Stegostoma tigrinum: one gene and its partner. The protein of the gene in region 1 binds, or shares a complex with, the protein of each later gene. Links are inferred from orthologs where the notes say so. Each region holds a gene or a part of one and is shown on either strand. Other genes may lie near its edges.

Region 1 (8,880 bases):
GACGCTTTTTCTAAGGATAATGGTCCCCCTCCAGTTCAGGTGCAACCCAGCCCTCTTGAAAAGGTCATTTCTGCCCAGAAGAGATCCCAATGATCCAAAATCTGAATCCCTGCCCCCTGCACCAGCTCCTCAATCATCTGCCCTATCCTCCTATTCCTACAGTCACAGCAGGCCAGGCAGCATCAGAGGAGCAGAAAGTTGCCGTTTCGGATCGGGACCCTTCTTCCTGCTCCTGTGATGCTGCCTGGCCTGCTGTGTTCCTCCAGCTCCACACTGTGTTATCTCCAGCATCTGCAGTTTTTACCATCTCTGTAAAGCATAAATGCAAGTGGGTATGGTTGCTACTTAGTGAGTAGCCTGTCACTGCACATTCTACATGACAGCAAGGACAAAAGCATCTTCAAAAAATATTCGTCCCTGAGACCATTTACATCACTCAATAAAACATATACACCAATACCAGTACTTTAGCTAACGTACTTTGGGAACATATGTTGGCAACATAGTGGTAAGAGCATTGGTGTAGTAATCCAGAACCAAGTTAATACCCTGGGGACATGGGTTCAAAATCACCACAGTTGATGGTGAAATTTTGGTTCAGTGGTTAGCACTGCTGACTCACAACACCAGTAGCCCAGGTTTGATTCCACCGTCAGGTGACTGTCTGTGTGGAGTTTGCACATTCTCCCTGTGTCTGCGTGGGTTTCCTCCGGGTGCTCCGGTTTCCTCCCACAGTCCAAAGATGTGCAGGGTAGCCTAGATTAGGGGTGTCATATGCATGGGAAACGCAGGGTTACAGGGAAAGGGTACTGGGCTGGGCCCTGGTACAATGTTCTTTGGATGGTCACTGTGGGCTTGTGGGGCCAAAGGGCCTGTTTCCACGCTGAAGGGATTCTAATAAAGATAGAGAAAATTTGGATCAGAGCTAGATGAATTAGAAGATATAGAGCTTTATAATATTCTTTAATATACGAATAATAATTTGCATAATATCCCAGCTTTTGGCTCATTTTACAATACTATGCCTACAATATTTTAGAAAAACAGAGAGCCATTGAAACCAGTGCCAGACACCATTCAGTATCAATATTATTCTTCACTCTATCCATGGCATCCACTGGCGAGATCAGATTAGAAACCTCAAAATCTTACAGCAAACCCAATGGACAAATATTGAGGCGACGCTCCTGTCAGCCCAAGAGTATTGTAATTAGTGCATGTAATTAGAATGGTGGACCATCCCATTCCAAGGCAGTTACAGTATCACATGGTGAGTCAGAGTCATACAGCACGGAAACAGACCCTTCGGTCCAAATCATCCGTGCTGACAAGATATCCCAAACTTAACTATCGTCCCATTCTCCTGCATTTGGTCCATATCCTTCTAAACCTTTCCTATTCATGGATGTATCTAAATGTCTTTTAAATATGGTATTTGTACCCACCTCTTACCACTTCCTCTGACAACTCATTTCAATCATTCCAACCCTCTGTATGAAAAGGTTGCCCCACGGGTCCTTTTTAAATCTTTCACCTCTCACTTTAAACCTATGCCCCTCTAGTTTTGGACTCCCCTCCCCTGGGGAAAAGACCTTGACTATTCACACTATCCGTGCCTCTCATGATTTTGGAAACCTCTGTAAGGTCACCCTTCAGTCTCCAGTGCTTCATGGAAAATGTTCTAGCCTATCCAGCCTCTCCTTATAAATCGACCCTTCAGTCCTGCAACATCCTTGTAAATTTTTTTCTGCGCCCTTTCTAGTTTAACAACATCCTTCCTATAGCAGAATTGTATGTAGTATTTCCATTTGTGGCCTCACTAATGTCCTGACAGCTGCAATATGACTTCCCAACTCCTATACTCAATGCACTGACCAATGAAGGCAAGCATGCCAAATGCCTTCTTCACCACCCCATGTAACTGCAACGCGACTCTCAAGGAACTACAAACCTGCGCCCCAGGTTCCTCTGTTCAACAACATTCCACAGGCCCCTATCATCAACTGTTGGACATAAAATCCTACTCTGCTTTGCCTTACCAAAATAGAACACCTTGATTTAACTAAATTAATCTCCAGCTGCTACTTCTCGGCCAATTGGCCCATCTGATCAAGATCTCATTGTACTCTTAGGTAACCTTCTTCACTATCGACCACACCACCAACTTTAGTGTCATCTTCAAATTTAGTAACTATACCTCTTAAAATTTCATCCAAATCACAAATATAAACAACAAACAGTAGACTGAGAACCTATCTTGCACGCACTGCTGGTCACAAACATCCAGTCTGAACAACAACCCTCTACATCCACTTTCTGTCTCCTACCATCAAGTCAATTTTTGTATCCAATTGGCTAACGCTCTGTGGATCCCATGTGACTTAACCTTACTAAGCAGCCTACCACACAGAACCATGTCGAATACCTCGCTAAAGTCAATGTAGACAACATCTACCGCTCTGCCTTCATCTATCTTCTTCGTGACCTCTTCAAATAACTCCATCAAGTTTGTGAGACACATTTTCTCAGGTTAACGGTCCCCTCCAGTTCAGGTTCAGCCCAGCCCTCTTGAAAAGGTCACTTCTGCCCCAGAAGAGATCCCAATCATCCAAAAATCTGAATCTCTGCCTCCTGCACCAGCTCCTCAGCCACCCAATCATCTGCCCTATCTTCCTATTCCTACTGTCACCAGCATTTGGCACCAGGAGTAATTCAGTGATTACTACCCTTGAGCTCCTGCTTTTTAACCTCCTGCCTAACTCCCTGTGTTCTCCCTGTAAAACCTCATCCCTTCCTCAACCTATGTCAATGGTACCTGTGTGTTTAATGTCTTCCGTCTGTTCACTCGCCCTTTATGAATTTTGCTGTGCCTTCTCCAACACGTCCTTGCCTCTGGCACTAACCCAAGAAAGGGTCAATGCCCTTAGATGCTGATAATAAATAAGTAAATAAAGTCATCTTTGGCTTTTAGAGTCATTGAGATGTACAGCATGGAAACAGACCCTTTGGTCCAACTCGCCCATGCCGACCAGCAATCCTAAATTAATCTAGTCCCATTTGCCAGCATTTAGCTCATATCCCTTTAAACTCTTTCTATTCACGTACCCCCATCCAAATGCCTTTTAAATGTTGCAATTGTACCAGCCTCCATCACCTCTTTTGGCAACTCATTCCGTACTGAATGAGTATGGAATGAGCTACCAATTCCAGCAGCTCATTCCATACTCATTCAGTATGGAATGAGCTGCCAAAAGAGCTCATTTAAAAGTGCAAGGTGTACTTTTAAATCTTTCACCTCTCACCTTAAACCTAAGCTGTCTAGTTTTGGACTTTCTACCCTGGGGAGAAGTCCTCGGCTATTCACTTTATCCATACCCTTCATGATTTTATCAAACTCTGTATAAGGTCACCCCTCAGTTTCTGACACTCCAAGGAAAATAGCCCCAGCCCATTCAACTCTCCCTGAAGCTCAAAACCTCCAACCCTGGCAACATCCTCCAGTTCTTTCAGTTTTTAAAATTTTAAAAAATCTTCTCTTTCAAGTTTCACATCCATCCTACAGCAGGGAGACCAAGATTGAATGCAGTGTTCCAAAAGTGGCCTAACCAATGTCCTGTGCAGCTGCAATATGACATCCCAAGTCATATATTCAATGCACCGACCAATGAAGGCAAGCATTCCAAACCTCATCACCGTTTTCATAGACATCTCAATATATGTCAGCAACGAATCTCACATTTGTTGCTTTGTTCTGGTCATTTTCTATATTAACCAGCTCAGTGATGTTTTACACACTCTGGAGCAGGAAGGGCTTGAATCTAGGCCTCCTGTATCAGGGGTAGGGATTTTACCACTGCACCACATAGACTTGCTCTAGATTGTTACCCCATAAGCAACCTATTCAGATGTGAAACCTCTTATTAAAACCTCCAGGGCAAGGTGGGTGTTGAACGCAGGTCTCCTGGCTGAAAGGAAAAGGCACTACTGCTGTACCACATGGCCACATGTCAGGTTCTTGTTCTAACCCAGAGGACTAATACAATTAATGCAATTTGTCGAACATTGTGTGTAAACCAGTTACAGTCTCCTATTTACCGTCATACCCAACAAAAACACAGTTGCTGGAAAAGCTCAGCAGGTCTGGTAGCATCTGTGAAGGAAAAAACAGAGTAACGTTTAGGGTCCAGTGACCCTTCCTCAGAACTGAGGGTGGCTGGGAAAACGTCAGTTTATATGCAGAAAATAGAGAGTGGGGTGGGGAGTAAACAATAGGATTGAGCCCAAAGAGAGAGAAAGACAGTTGGACAGACAAAGGAGTTGATTACAATCTGGCTGGGAGGGTGAATAGTTACTGACTACTAACAGGAAGTTATAACATGGCAGGCTATGTGGTAACAAGAGATAGTAGGAACTGCTGATGCTGGAGAATCTGAGATAACAAGGTACAGAACTGGATGAACACGGCAGGCCAAGCAGCATCAGAGGAGCAGGAAAACTGATGCTTCGTGTCGAGCCTCTTCTTCAGAAATGGGGAAAGGTAAGGGGATTCTGAAATAAATAGGGAGGGAGGGGGAGGCGGATAGAAGATGGATAAAAGAGAAGATAGGGTGAGAGGAGATAGACAGGTCAAAGAGGCAGGGATGGAGCCAGTAAAGATGAATGTAGGTGGGGAATCAGGGAGGGGATAGTTTGATCCAGGGAGGACGGACAGGTCAAAGAGGCGGCATGAGGTTGGTGGGTAGGGGATGGGAGTGGGGGTTTGAGGTGGGAGGAGGGGATGGGTGAGAGGAAGAACAGGTTAGGGAGGCAGGGACAAGTTTGGCTGGTTTTGGGATGCAGTGGGGGGGGGGGGGGGGTGAGATTTTGAAGCTTGTGAAGTCCACATTGATACCATTGGGCTGCAGGGTTCCCAAGCGGAAATGAGTTGCTGTTCCTGCAGCTTTCGGGTGGCATCTTTTTGGCACTGCAGGAGGCGCAGGATGGACATGTCATCTGCGGAATGGGAGGAGGCATTGAAATGGTTTGCGACTGGGAGGTGCAGTGGATTGTTGCGAACTGAGCGGAGGTGTTCTGCAAAGCGGTCTCCAAGCCTCTGCTTGGTTTCCCCAATGTAGAGGAGGCCACACCAGGTACAGCAGATGCAGTATACCACATTGGCAGATGTGCAGGTGAACAAGTGTGTGGTAACAAGGCTTGGTATGTGGGGTTGGGAAGCTGGGATATAGGACAGTTTAGGCCCTAAAATTATTGACCTGCTGAGCTTTTCCAACCACCTCTGCTTTTGTTCCAGATTTATAGCATCCCCAATCCTTTCAGTTTTTACCATCAGACCCAATAGGGGCGGTATCAACTGACAAGTCCAATCACTATCCGTGTTTCCGTGTCAATCAGTTTGTCTTGTCCAATAGAAATCGGAATATGCGTCGTCGCCCCGCGGAAATGATCCAATCAGAAACGGATTCTGCCGTGTCCAATCAACTGCCGAAACCGGTGGTATTAACAGCCCAACGTGCAGGCATCGTGAACTTATTGGTCTATATGCCTGTCGATCGACAATGTTATCCAACCACCTGCCGCTATGGGCGGGATGTTGATGACGTTCGGCATGTCCACCAATCAGAGTGGCGATAGGGTTTGCTCCCTGGGCCTTAGGTTGGGTTCGACGCCTTTTCGAAGCCTCGGCGTAGGCTGCGGCCGCGGGGCAAAATGAGCGTTTTTTTACAGAAACACGATGTTATTTTTGTAAGTGAATCGTATAACTCCGAGATGACAGCTCCGAATTCAACATTCCTTGTTCGCTGAGCTGGTCTTTGAGGGTAGGCCTCAGCTGAAGCCTCGGCCTCGATTTATTTTGTTGGTCTCCCACGGCATTAACGGCTTCTTTATCACTTCCCCTTCAGGAACCGTATGGTCCTACTTTTTCTCTCTTTTCTATGTTTTGACTTAATAAGTAAAGTCGCAGAGCAGCTGCCCCAGTTTTGTCAACCACATTGATTTCAGAGTCCCAAGTGAAAGTGAGCTTCTTTACACTGTCTCTGTGTTGCTGCTCAGTAGTTGTTGGAGCTGACAGGCAGTCATATTGCTACTGGCTGATCGGAGGTAATTTGTTCGCCCTCGAGAGAGCCGGCATGTGAAAGGAAGAATTTGAATTTATATAGTGCCTTTTTTCAGCCTCAAAATCCCTACAGTGTAGAAGCAGGCCTTTCAGCCCTCGCTGACCTTCCGGAGAGCATCCCATCCAGATACCACTCACTCATCACCACCTCCCCAGCCTCATTTTCCATGGTTAACCCACTTAGCCTGCACAACCCTGAACACTATGGGCAATGTAGTATGGCCAGTATACCCTAACCTGGACGTCTTTGGACTGTGGGAGGAAACCCACATAGACACAGGGAGAATGTGAAAACTCTACACAGACAATTGCTTGGGGGTGGAATCAAGCCCATGGAAGGGCCTAGGCCCGAAGCGTCAGCTTTCCGGCACCGATGCTGCTGCTGCTTGGCCTGCTGTATTCATCCAGCTCTACACCTTGTTATCCCATGTCACTGGCACTGTGAGGCAGCAGTGCTAACCACTGAGCCAGCCTACCAACATCTCATCCGCACTCCATGACCAATGATGTGCTTCACTCGTGTCAGATATGAAATACAGCAGCTATATGTTCTACAGCAAGCTCCCACAGATAGCAGTGTAATTATGAGCAGATCATTATGTCATGTTAGCTGACTAGGACACTGGGGAGAGATACCAGTGCTCAGAAATAGCACCATGGGATCTTTCACATTCACCTGCTAGAGCTGACAGAGCCTCAGTTTATGAATATATGAAATAGAAGCAGGAATAGGTCATTTAAATCCTCAACCTGTATGGAACGAGCTGTCAGAGGAAATGATAGAGGCGGGTACAATTACAACATTTAAAAGACGTTTGAACAGGTACATTGAAAGGAAAGGATTAGAGGTATAAGGTTTAAACGCAGTCAAATGGGGCTAGTTCAGTTTAGGACACCTGGTTGGCATGAACGCGTTGGACCAAAGGGTCTGTTTCCATGCTGTATGACTCTCTTTAAGTCTGCTCAACCATTCAGAAAGGTAATGGCAATACCAACTCCTGCTGACCCACCAGTGACCTTTTGACCTTGTGTGAACAGTGGTGGCACTGACAGCACAGCCCTCCTTCGGGACTCAGCTGGGAGCATCAGCCTTGAATATTGTGCTGAAATCCTAGACTGGGATTTGAACTCAAATGACGTGTAATCAACAATAGCTTCAGTAAGTAATACATTTGAAGGAAGCATTTTGCGACTGACAGATGATTCTTTTCCATAGTTTACACTTCAGTTCTTTAGATTGCAGTACTCAGCTTCAAGAAGATACTTCTCAAAAACTATATTTGCACTGAATGCTGAAAATTGGCCTACAAATCTTTAATTCTGTAAACCTAACTTGTCGACTTAAAAATGATTGTCAGCAGATACGACAGTTGTGGAAAAGAAACCTGAGATTTGATACCAGTTAAGTACCTTACTGCATTGGTAAACATTGTATAAACAGGGCAGCCCCAGCAAAAGATTGTCTTCAACTATCCTTTGTCAAATGTTTACAAAATTGCTGTTTGTTGCTCAAGTCAAATACTTCAGTCTTGCTGTTCGTGTTCCCAAAATACATTTGGAGTGTCAGGATTGTAAATTCTTGATATGCCATTTGGTTACAGCTTGGGCTTGGCTGTTACAAGTAACACCAAGCTGAACACAAATTGCTGCGTGAACTAATTGTATAATTCCAAGTTAAATGCTAAGTACAAAAACATTTTCTTTCTTCAGAAGTGCGTTAGAAAGTTCACAAAGAAGTTTCGAAGAACTTTTTGTAATAGATAAATTGATAGTGACAGATCAGTTTTACTTTATCAAGTTGCTGTTTGTGTTGTCAAAGGTGACATTTTACATGCTGTCAGTGCCACATTTTCCCCGAGAGTCTGATAGCTGGTGACTTGCGTGCATCCCCTGGGCTTCATTCTGTCCACTTGTTTGAATCTCTTTGACAGGAAGATGATGATCTGCCATATGAAGAAGAGATCATTCGCAATCCTTACTCTGTTAAATGCTGGATCCGCTACATAGAGTTTAAGCAGTCTGCACCCATACATGTGGTGAACATGATTTACGAGAGAGCGCTTAAAGAACTTCCTGGCAGGTATTGTTTCTTAGTGGAAGCAACAAGGTCTAGTGATTACATGGGGGCATTAGAGACTTTTGAGATCAACACCTGACAGAAGCTGAGATAACAAGGTGTAAAGCTGGATGAACACAGCAGGCCAAGCAGCATCAGAGGAGCAGGAAGGCTGATGTTTTGGGCCTAGACAAATGTCAGCCTTCCTGTTCCCCAGATGCTGCTTGGCCTGCTGTGTTCATCCAGCTTTACACCTTGTTATCTCAGATTCTCCAGCATCTGCAGTTCCTACTATCACTAACAGAAGCTAATGGTTTGTTCAAAAGATCAAAGATTAAGCATAGATCAAATTTTGTATCTTGTCTGCATCAATCACACAGTTTATGCAAAAGAATTTTGCCTTGTGATGTGTCAGTTGCTGGTGTTTTTAATAATCCTTGATAGCAGTGGTTTACATGTAACTGGAATTAACAGCTTTCGCCCACTTGGAGCTTTTGCTTCAGAGGTGTACGGTCAGCTCACTTAGTGAAGCACTTTAATGATGTGCATCTGAGGAAAACTAAATATATCAATTTTAAATTACAACAAGTTGCGTGGAGTGTAAAAGCACAGAAGCAGGCTATTCGGTTTATCAGGTCAATGGTGGTGTTTCTGCTGCTGTGTAGAAAACTCGTTCCGCAACAGAGCTTGATCAATGTGATGTCTATTC
Region 2 (8,383 bases), on another chromosome or scaffold:
ATACAATTTGTGCTTGTAACAGTCCAAAAGATAGAAAACATAGTCTTTCAAAAAGATTCCACTATAATGCCGTGCTATTACAGTGAGAGAAAAAACATGATATGTATAGAATTTTATAGAAGGAAGCCATGTAGCCCACTGTGTCTGTCCTGGCAGCAAAATAAAGTTGCAAACAACTGGTTTACTAATTGGTATTTTACTTTGGATTCAGTCAGTATTATCAATTTAAAATGATTAACATGGTTTGACCTGCAGTTACAAGTTTCAGTAATATGTGTGTTGTATGACACACAGCAATTCGGTGGTTCTGGTACATCAAAAATGCTGGTTACCTATTGCAGTTTGTGATAATTAGTCGGTATCAAATAAAAATGTATTAACTTATACTGCAACCTGTTGTGGCTTCAAACATTTCAACTATTTGACTTCTTCGCTCCAAACACTGAAGTAAAAGTCCTTCAACTTGCAGCTGATTCTTTTACAATTATTTCTAACTGACATGGGTATTTTGTATAGCAACAGTGATACATGTGGTTAGGGCGGTATCAGATTCATTTGTTGGAACGTTCCAGTTGGAGAGGAGGCAGATATTAAAATTTTACTTTTTTTTGCAGATTGCCAAGAACCAAGGATTCCACAAGTTTTGATTCAGATATATTCAGACTGGATGCGTGGATTGTGCTTAGCTTTGAGGAAAAAAAAACAAAAACATTGCAAAATTTCAAATAACCAGATCCTGAAACGTTTTAAATGTACCTTAAGAATTTAAAAGAAATATATTTTGATAAATCAAACTATAAAATTATCAAGCAGGGCACTACTTTGATTTAAAACTTGTTTTGTTTTGAAAATGGGCGTCTGTGGCCAGGATAGATTTATTTATTTTTTTCCTTCTCTTTAAAGAACAAGAAATAAAAGGTTAAAGGTATGAGAATGGAGCTAGATTTTACTTTGCAGTTGAGTTTTATCATTAAGGTGTGTTTTAATTTTTAAAACTCAAGTTTGCCTAAATCTGGAAAAGTGTGTTTCTGATTGGGGAAAGGAGAAACCAATAAAAAAACTTTCACTACAATGTGTCAGTTGTCGTCATTTGCACTGGAGGGATTTTGATATTGATGCGTATGTTTTATTTATTAGGTTTTGGCTGTATAGTAGACTATTTAAATGGGGGAATGGAACTTCAGAGATGAAGAAGAATTATTTTATATAATGATAAAGTACTGTGGCTGTCATGAGATGCTAATAATACCTTGACATGTTTGTAATTTCCCATTGAAGCAGCAGTGGATTCCAGATAAGAACTCCAGGGCCCTGTCATTGTCATCAGTAGATCTATCACTGTCACACAAGTCAACTATTTCTCCACCCTCATTTGCAATTTGGTCTGTTTCCTCCAAGCTGAAAAGAAGTTTTCTATTAAAAAAATGTTAAAAATATTTCATGGCTGTGAACTGATATTGGGGTGCTTAAGTTCAGAACTAAGTGATGGGACTTGTCCACTGATAATGGGCAAGTGTCTGCTTTGTCACAGTGGTTAAACAAAATACTATGTAAATATAATGAATCTTCTGAATGGGGAAAAAATGTTACAAACAATGTGCATCTCCTGATGATTGTTTAGAAAACATAGACTGCTGGAGTCAGAAGAGAAGATTAATTTCAGTTTGGAGGAGAAAGTATAAGACAAGCAAATGTAATGAAAATATGTCAGTTTTTTTTAAATGATCATTTCTGCTTCTCTTGAAATAAAAGATTGTGATCAAACATGGTATAACACATGTATTTGCTACATTTTTTTTGTTTCCAAAGCCCCATCTGGCTGATGTCATAGGGAAAATCTGGAAACTCTTTGACACAGATCAAACACCAATACAGCAGCGAAAGCCAGCAACTTGAATTATTGACTGCACAGATATTAACCAGAATATCATTTTAAGGCAGATTTGGCACCAGTCATCCAAATCAGCCCAATTCCTTTGACTTTAGAATTTTAACTTTTACGGTATGAATAATTGTTAAGGAAAAAACACTGAAAATATACATATGCTAGTTCTAGCATAAAGACCAATTTTCTATAACATTCAAATCAACAATTATACTTTCTAGTTTGCAACTAGTTTTAAAAAAAGTCAAACTTTTGGCAATTTTTTGCATTGTGGAGCAAATTTCCTTTAGTGACAAACAGAGAAGACAAAGTTGTCAGAGCAAATTGCTCAAGAAATTCTAAGGTGATAAAATTATTAAAATTAATTATTTAAAAAAGCTTGTCTTGAAAATGTATTGTTTTAAGTTTGACTAAATGCTTACTGATTTTAAAAGAGGAACAATTGTTAAATCTATCTTCTCTCTGGATGTTACACTGCATCTCACTATTCCAGTACAAAGATGTAACCTGGTTTCATCATCCATGAGCATAACAAGTGCATTTCACATGATCTCTGGCATTTGTCCCATGCAAATTAGTTACTGTAACTAATGGTTTTTTTTAAATTATGTGTCATAAATAGCAAAGTTAACAGGATTGTAAGCCATATGTACAAATGAAAATTGACTGTAGGGGAAATTATGAAAATATGAACCATTGAGTCCTAATGGGTTGAAACTGTGACCTACTGCACAAATCTGAAAAGGAATGGTTCAAGTTTATGAAACTGATTCTTTTCTTCATTTAGAGAACAATTGTATACAGCCAGATCTGTAAATAGTAGAATTTCCAGCATTGGGGAAATGGTAGGAGAACACTTCAATCAAATCATAAAGACATCACAAATCCATTTAAACAAATGCCTACCTTTCAGGTTTGAGATCCAGAAGAATAAACTTGATTTTTCTTACTAGTATTTTCCCCCTTGGAGATATTCTTGCTGGAATGTTGTCTCAAAGCCAGTAGATGCCACCGGATGTTTCGTCCAAGTTCTCTATTGAGCGTTCAGTATATAAATTATTCAACATTATGTCAATGCCTAGTCCTGTCCAAGCCTGTTTTCACGTATGTGCTTTTTTACAGATGATGTCACTGGGTACCTCTCCCTTCTCTGAGAGGTTGTGATGCTGGTTGTGGTTACTAATAAAATCAATCCAACAAAGATTAGTGATTGAACCTGAGACCCTCATTGTCTAGTTGGTTCAGCCTTCCAAATCACTGTTGGTAGTTCTTTGAGTAACTTGGATGTGGAAGCTAACGTACACTGGGAATATGGGGAAAAATAGGCCATTCAACACCTTCAGCCAGTTTTGCTTTTCAAGTAGATCATAGCTGACTTGGTTACATTTGCAGATGGTAACAAACTGATTGTGGCAATTAAGGGAAGTAGGCAAAAGGCATACAACTGGTGTCGTTTACGATATCCCTTTGGAAGGTGTGAAAATAGCTAAAGGTTGAGGAAATTGAAAATAAATGAGGTAATGGCCAACTTAGTGAAGGAAAAATATAGTGCAGTATTTTATTGCCAAATAAAATTAGAAATTCAAGACTGTCACTTAAGTCCTGTATTAAGTTTGGCTCATATAGAAGAGAAACATTCCAGTCATGGAACACTGCAGAAAAGAGGCCTGAAGCTGATTCTCAGTGTGGAAGGTTTTTTTTCATATGTGGGACATGGGCATCATTAGCGGGCAACATTTATTACCTGGCCCCGTTGCTCTGGAGAAGGTGGTGGTGAATTGCTGCAGTCCATCTGCTGTTAGTTGACCCATAATGTCCTTAAGAAGGGAATTCTAGAATTATGACCCGGTGACAGTTAAATAACTGTTTTTTGGAATACCAGTTAAGAAAGAAGGTGACTGAGTAGGAACTGACAGAAGGTATTTAATATTTTACAGTAAAACCAGCTCATAATGTCAAGGGAAAAAGATACTTACAGCTGGGCAACATAAGGTAAAGTAACCATAGTCCCATTCTTTCATTAGAGAAAGATGTCTGTGGTGGTTTAATTTGAGGGGAAGGACGGAGAAGAGTGGACCTTGTCACATTAGATACTGTAGGAATTGAACACAAACTGTTGGCCTCAGTTTGTATTGCAAGCTAGCCATCCAGCTAGCTGAGCTAACCAACCCTGAAAAGGCACACATAATGGTATCAAGAGGAACTGCAAACTGCAGTGGTCACCCGTTGTAACTAATCTCAGTGTAAGGTTTGAAAGTGCACAATTGTTACAATTAAGAAGGAAAGTTCATTAAAGATTTCACAGAATAAAGTGCTGAAGAATTTTTTTAAATCTTGGATGGATTAACTCTGGTGTCCAGAGTACAACCTTGTGGGAGAATCTAGAACGAGGGCTCATAATTTTAAAATAAGGGGGTGCCCATTCAAAACAGATGAGGAAAATAAATTCCTCAGAATAAGTCTCAGGAATTCCCTTTCTCAAAAAGCAGTGGATGTAGAATCTTTAAAATGTTTTAAGACAGAGGTGGACAGATGGATATGTAGGAATATATGGTTGAGGTTCAAGTCAAATCAGCTCTGACGTTATTGAATGGCAGAGCAGGGTTGTGCAGTCTACTCTTCCTTGATGACATGTAACCCCTATCTGCTTATTTAGTGGAAAAATGATCAAGTCCCATTTATAAACTAACATTTTAAGGCTCTTTGTGAGACTTTATAGAGTGAAGTCTGAACACAAATTTTCCTATATATCGTACAGAGAGCACTGTGGAATACTACAGAATATAAAGATGTTATTTCCAAAAAAGCACCTGCCCCAGGCATGTTTTGATTATCTATATGATCCCTTAGAGACAGTTTAAACATCAGGCTCTGCAAAGATACGTCTCCTATCAGCACCTACTCTATCCCACTTTAACTATTACTCCAAAATTGCTCTCATTTTCCTGTCTAGTTAATTTAGAAATTAGCTTATATTTTGTTGGGTTTTTTTTTCAATTTTCTTTTCAAGTTCGGAATTTTTTTGTTTGAAAAAGAACTTATTAAATAAACCAAACATTGAGCAAGTGTCTGGGTGAAAGGTTGGAGTTGAGAGGGGAAAGTTCAAGGGAAGATGGCGTCGACCAAGCGGGTGCTGTATGTGGGTGAGTGAGGAAGGGCCACGGCCGCTCTTCAGATTCTTTCCACAGTCAAATAACATTCTCCATGGGGTACTTGTCCGAATTTACTCAGTGCGGTGGGTCTCTAGTGCAGCAACGGGGGAAATTCCAAACCCTGCACAATTTAACAAAAAAAAACTCATCTCTGCGAGCAAGATCGCCTGTAGGTTGCTTATCGTTTGCTTTTTTAAAATCTTACCATACTCCAAAAATGTTTTTTTTTCAGTTTATCGTTTTATAGTTTATCATTTTTCAGTCTGAGAATGATTCATTCAACAATCATGTAGAATTGTACAGAATACGGGCTGTTTTGATTACTGTGTCCTTTTAACATATTGATGAAAGACGAAGCATCATTCTGCCGTAATTACACATAATTTGCTGTCGTTGTTATAATGGTTATCCATTTATAACTATTTGTAACCTGAGACATGGTGCTATGATGACTAGTCCTTGGGCCAGTGATTTCAAAACTCTTCCACTGTGACTCAATTTCGAGGCTTGTAAACTGTCACCATTCTTCAAAGAGACCTTTGAGAGTTGTTGGGAGAAGTTAGATACCTGTGGGCATTGTTGCTTGTTAGATCTGGAGCACAGTCGTTTGGGATTACACAGCAGCAATTATAGCCTTGGAACTTGCAACCCCCTTCTGGCCTGATCCCTTTTGGGAAGCGCTGCCTTTAGATGATGGTCTTTATTTTAAGATCAGATTACTGTTGAACCTGCAATGTCATGTACTGACTTAATAGACTGTCTAGTCACATGAAGGAACTCCTGATTCAGTCATTGTGGCAACAGTTGGACCTTGTTTGATCTGTGGGTAGACTTTTTCATTCTTATTGTAATACATATCTATAAAAACACACTTGGAAATAAATCTACAGTGTGTTGTGCTTTTAAAAAAAAATTTGGATCTTTAATAGTTAGATGTCCCATAGCTCAGCCTAGAAGTGTGTAAACATATTTTGCTGTAGAATGGTGGAATGCGGGTTTGTGCCTCAAGTTGAATATTTAATCTCAGATGTGTCATGTGAAAAGAAGCATAATGGGAAATTAAGGTATCTCCATGATGGAAGGAACATTTGGAGACTGATTTTCCTTAATAATCATTCACAATTGCAGGTTAGATAGGTGCTTTACCATTAATTAGCAAATGGTTTTGAAAGGAAATTGGATCAACTTGAAGGAAATAAACTCGCCAGGCTGCAGGGGAGTGGGATTGACTGTTTTGCTCAAAGGAGAGCTAGCAGAAACTTAGATAGCAGCCGTAAATGACTCTGGCAATGGGACGGGCAAAAACTTCTGGTTGTATGACGTTCTACAACTACATCTGGACAAGAAGTAATGAAGTCTCCATTCAATAGAGGCCAAAAAGATGGCCAGTGGATTGCACTAAGTCTGTTCAAATCTGATCTCTTAAAGTTGCTGCAAATTAGAATTAACATTTATTATAGTATCATTTTATAAATCAAAGTTCTTTATATTTAAAAATCAAGGGCAGTCCATATGTAGCTTATTTCTTAAAAGGTTTCTTAATCAGTTGCTGAGCTCTTTGATAGACAAGTAGATGTGCTTTGTTCTAAACACAGTTTTTGTTTGGAAGGATCAATTTAATCCTTTTTTCATTTGCATTGTATGTTGTTCAGTTTATTTTTCAAGATTTCTTTTGGAGGAGATGAATACTATGGGCAACATACTATGTTGAAGCTTAAAAGGCCTGAAACACCAGCTTTCCTGCTCCTCTGATGCTGCTTGGCCTGTTGTGTTCATGCAGCTCTACACCTTGTTATCTCAGTTCTTTGTAATTTACAATGTGACTGAAAGTTTTAAAAACATGAGAAATTATCCTTTGACCACATTGTTTTAAAAAATATAGCATTTTAAATTCTTGTTGACTGAATGTTGAGCATTCAAATTCATTTAAAAATATCATCATAAGACATTTTTGTGTTATTGTTTATGTGATGATGTATCAGGCAATCACTCATTTCAGCACCAGTGGAGATTTGATACTGTTCCTTGTGTTGGGGCAAAATTTTTGAACATACATAATTGTGTGTTTCCAAGAAACACAGGAAAAAGCCAGGTATCTCCATCTTTTGGGTGCTATATGCTGCAATTAGGGAAGGAGGCCTTAATACTGGATAACATATTTTATATACTCTGTGTATAGTTTCACTTTATTAGTCTTGCCCTACTTAAAGTCAAGTATTTTATACTCTAAAACTAATAGTAAAATACTGGTGGATAAACTTGACTTCTATAAAAAGGAATTTTTGTGGACAGTGTGATTGAGAGAAGTCACAGGCAGTCAGAGAAGGATGGTTAAGGTGACTGAAGTTGCGGAGAATAAAGAATCATTCAATGCAAATCAATCCAAGTGAAATGCAAAGACTGTGAGGATGGAAGGGAGATGAGTTTGATAGAGAGGGTGAGATGAGTTTGATAGAGAGGATGTGGGTCCTGTTATGTTCTGTGGTTAAGGTATTTCTAGCTAAAGAAAAACACCTACAAAACTGCAAGATGCTTGTCATCAAATGAATGCAGCCAGTCAGACTTGTGATTGAATTAAGTAGGTTTTCCATTGTTTGAATTGTTTTTAATTCTGTTATGACATCTGGTGTAGCTGCCATTTGTTACCCATCCCTAATTGCCTTTCAGAAGGCTGTGGTGAGCTGACACCTTGAGTTGCTGCTATCCATAAGGTGTAGCTACACCCACAGTATCCGTTAGGGAGGGAGTTCCAAATTTTTTGGCTCAGTGACAAGGTATTTTGTGGTCAATGTTGTGGTGTTCTCACAGAAAATCTTGTTATATTTAATGTATATTTTGTGTTTATCACCTGTAGGTGGTCTTGCTGAAGAAGTAGATGAGAAAGTGCTTCATGCAGCTTTCATTCCATTTGGTGATATCATGGACATTCAAATTCCACTGGATTATGAAACTGGTAAATATTTCACTTAAAATTCCTCCAACGTATTGAACCAGATTCAGAATACTTGTAAACTGAGAAAAAATATTGAGTTTTTATGACATAAAAATCTCTCTCAAAATTTTTATGCTGAAAATTGTCTGTAAATATCTTCCTTTAAAAACGAAAGGTTGAGATTTAACACTTAAGAGTTGGTACCAAACCATACAGTGTGATGTTCCAGATACAGTGAAAGCTACTTCTCTGTAACAACAATTGAAGCTTAATGTTTCTATGTACGTAACTCCAAAACGTTGATTATGAAATAGCCAAAAATCTAAATTCTTTATTGACAACTTTCTATTCAAACAGAAAAACACAGAGGTTTTGCATTCATTGAATTTGAAAATGCTGAGGTAAGATGATTTC

What was found.
Region 2: xab2 (region 1) and ppie share a complex: the UniProt entries of both Homo sapiens proteins name them as parts of the XAB2 complex. The link is inferred for Stegostoma tigrinum from reciprocal best matches to the Homo sapiens genes XAB2 and PPIE.

Annotation. Positions count from the first base shown.
Region 1 is NC_081388.1:13,420,211-13,429,090, reverse strand, and holds the start of xab2 (pre-mRNA-splicing factor SYF1), read left to right. Parts: upstream 1-5,627; 5' UTR 5,628-5,706; coding exon 5,707-5,742; exon of another isoform or gene 5,743-5,816; intron 5,817-7,015; exon of another isoform or gene 7,016-7,274; intron 7,275-8,046; coding exon 8,047-8,195; intron 8,196-8,880. UniProt on the Homo sapiens protein: Involved in pre-mRNA splicing as component of the spliceosome. Involved in transcription-coupled repair (TCR), transcription and pre-mRNA splicing.
Region 2 is NC_081377.1:33,673,708-33,682,090, forward strand, and holds the start of ppie (peptidyl-prolyl cis-trans isomerase E), read left to right. Parts: upstream 1-4,984; 5' UTR 4,985-4,997; coding exon 4,998-5,028; intron 5,029-7,891; coding exon 7,892-7,990; intron 7,991-8,326; coding exon 8,327-8,370; intron 8,371-8,383. UniProt on the Homo sapiens protein: Involved in pre-mRNA splicing as component of the spliceosome. Combines RNA-binding and PPIase activities.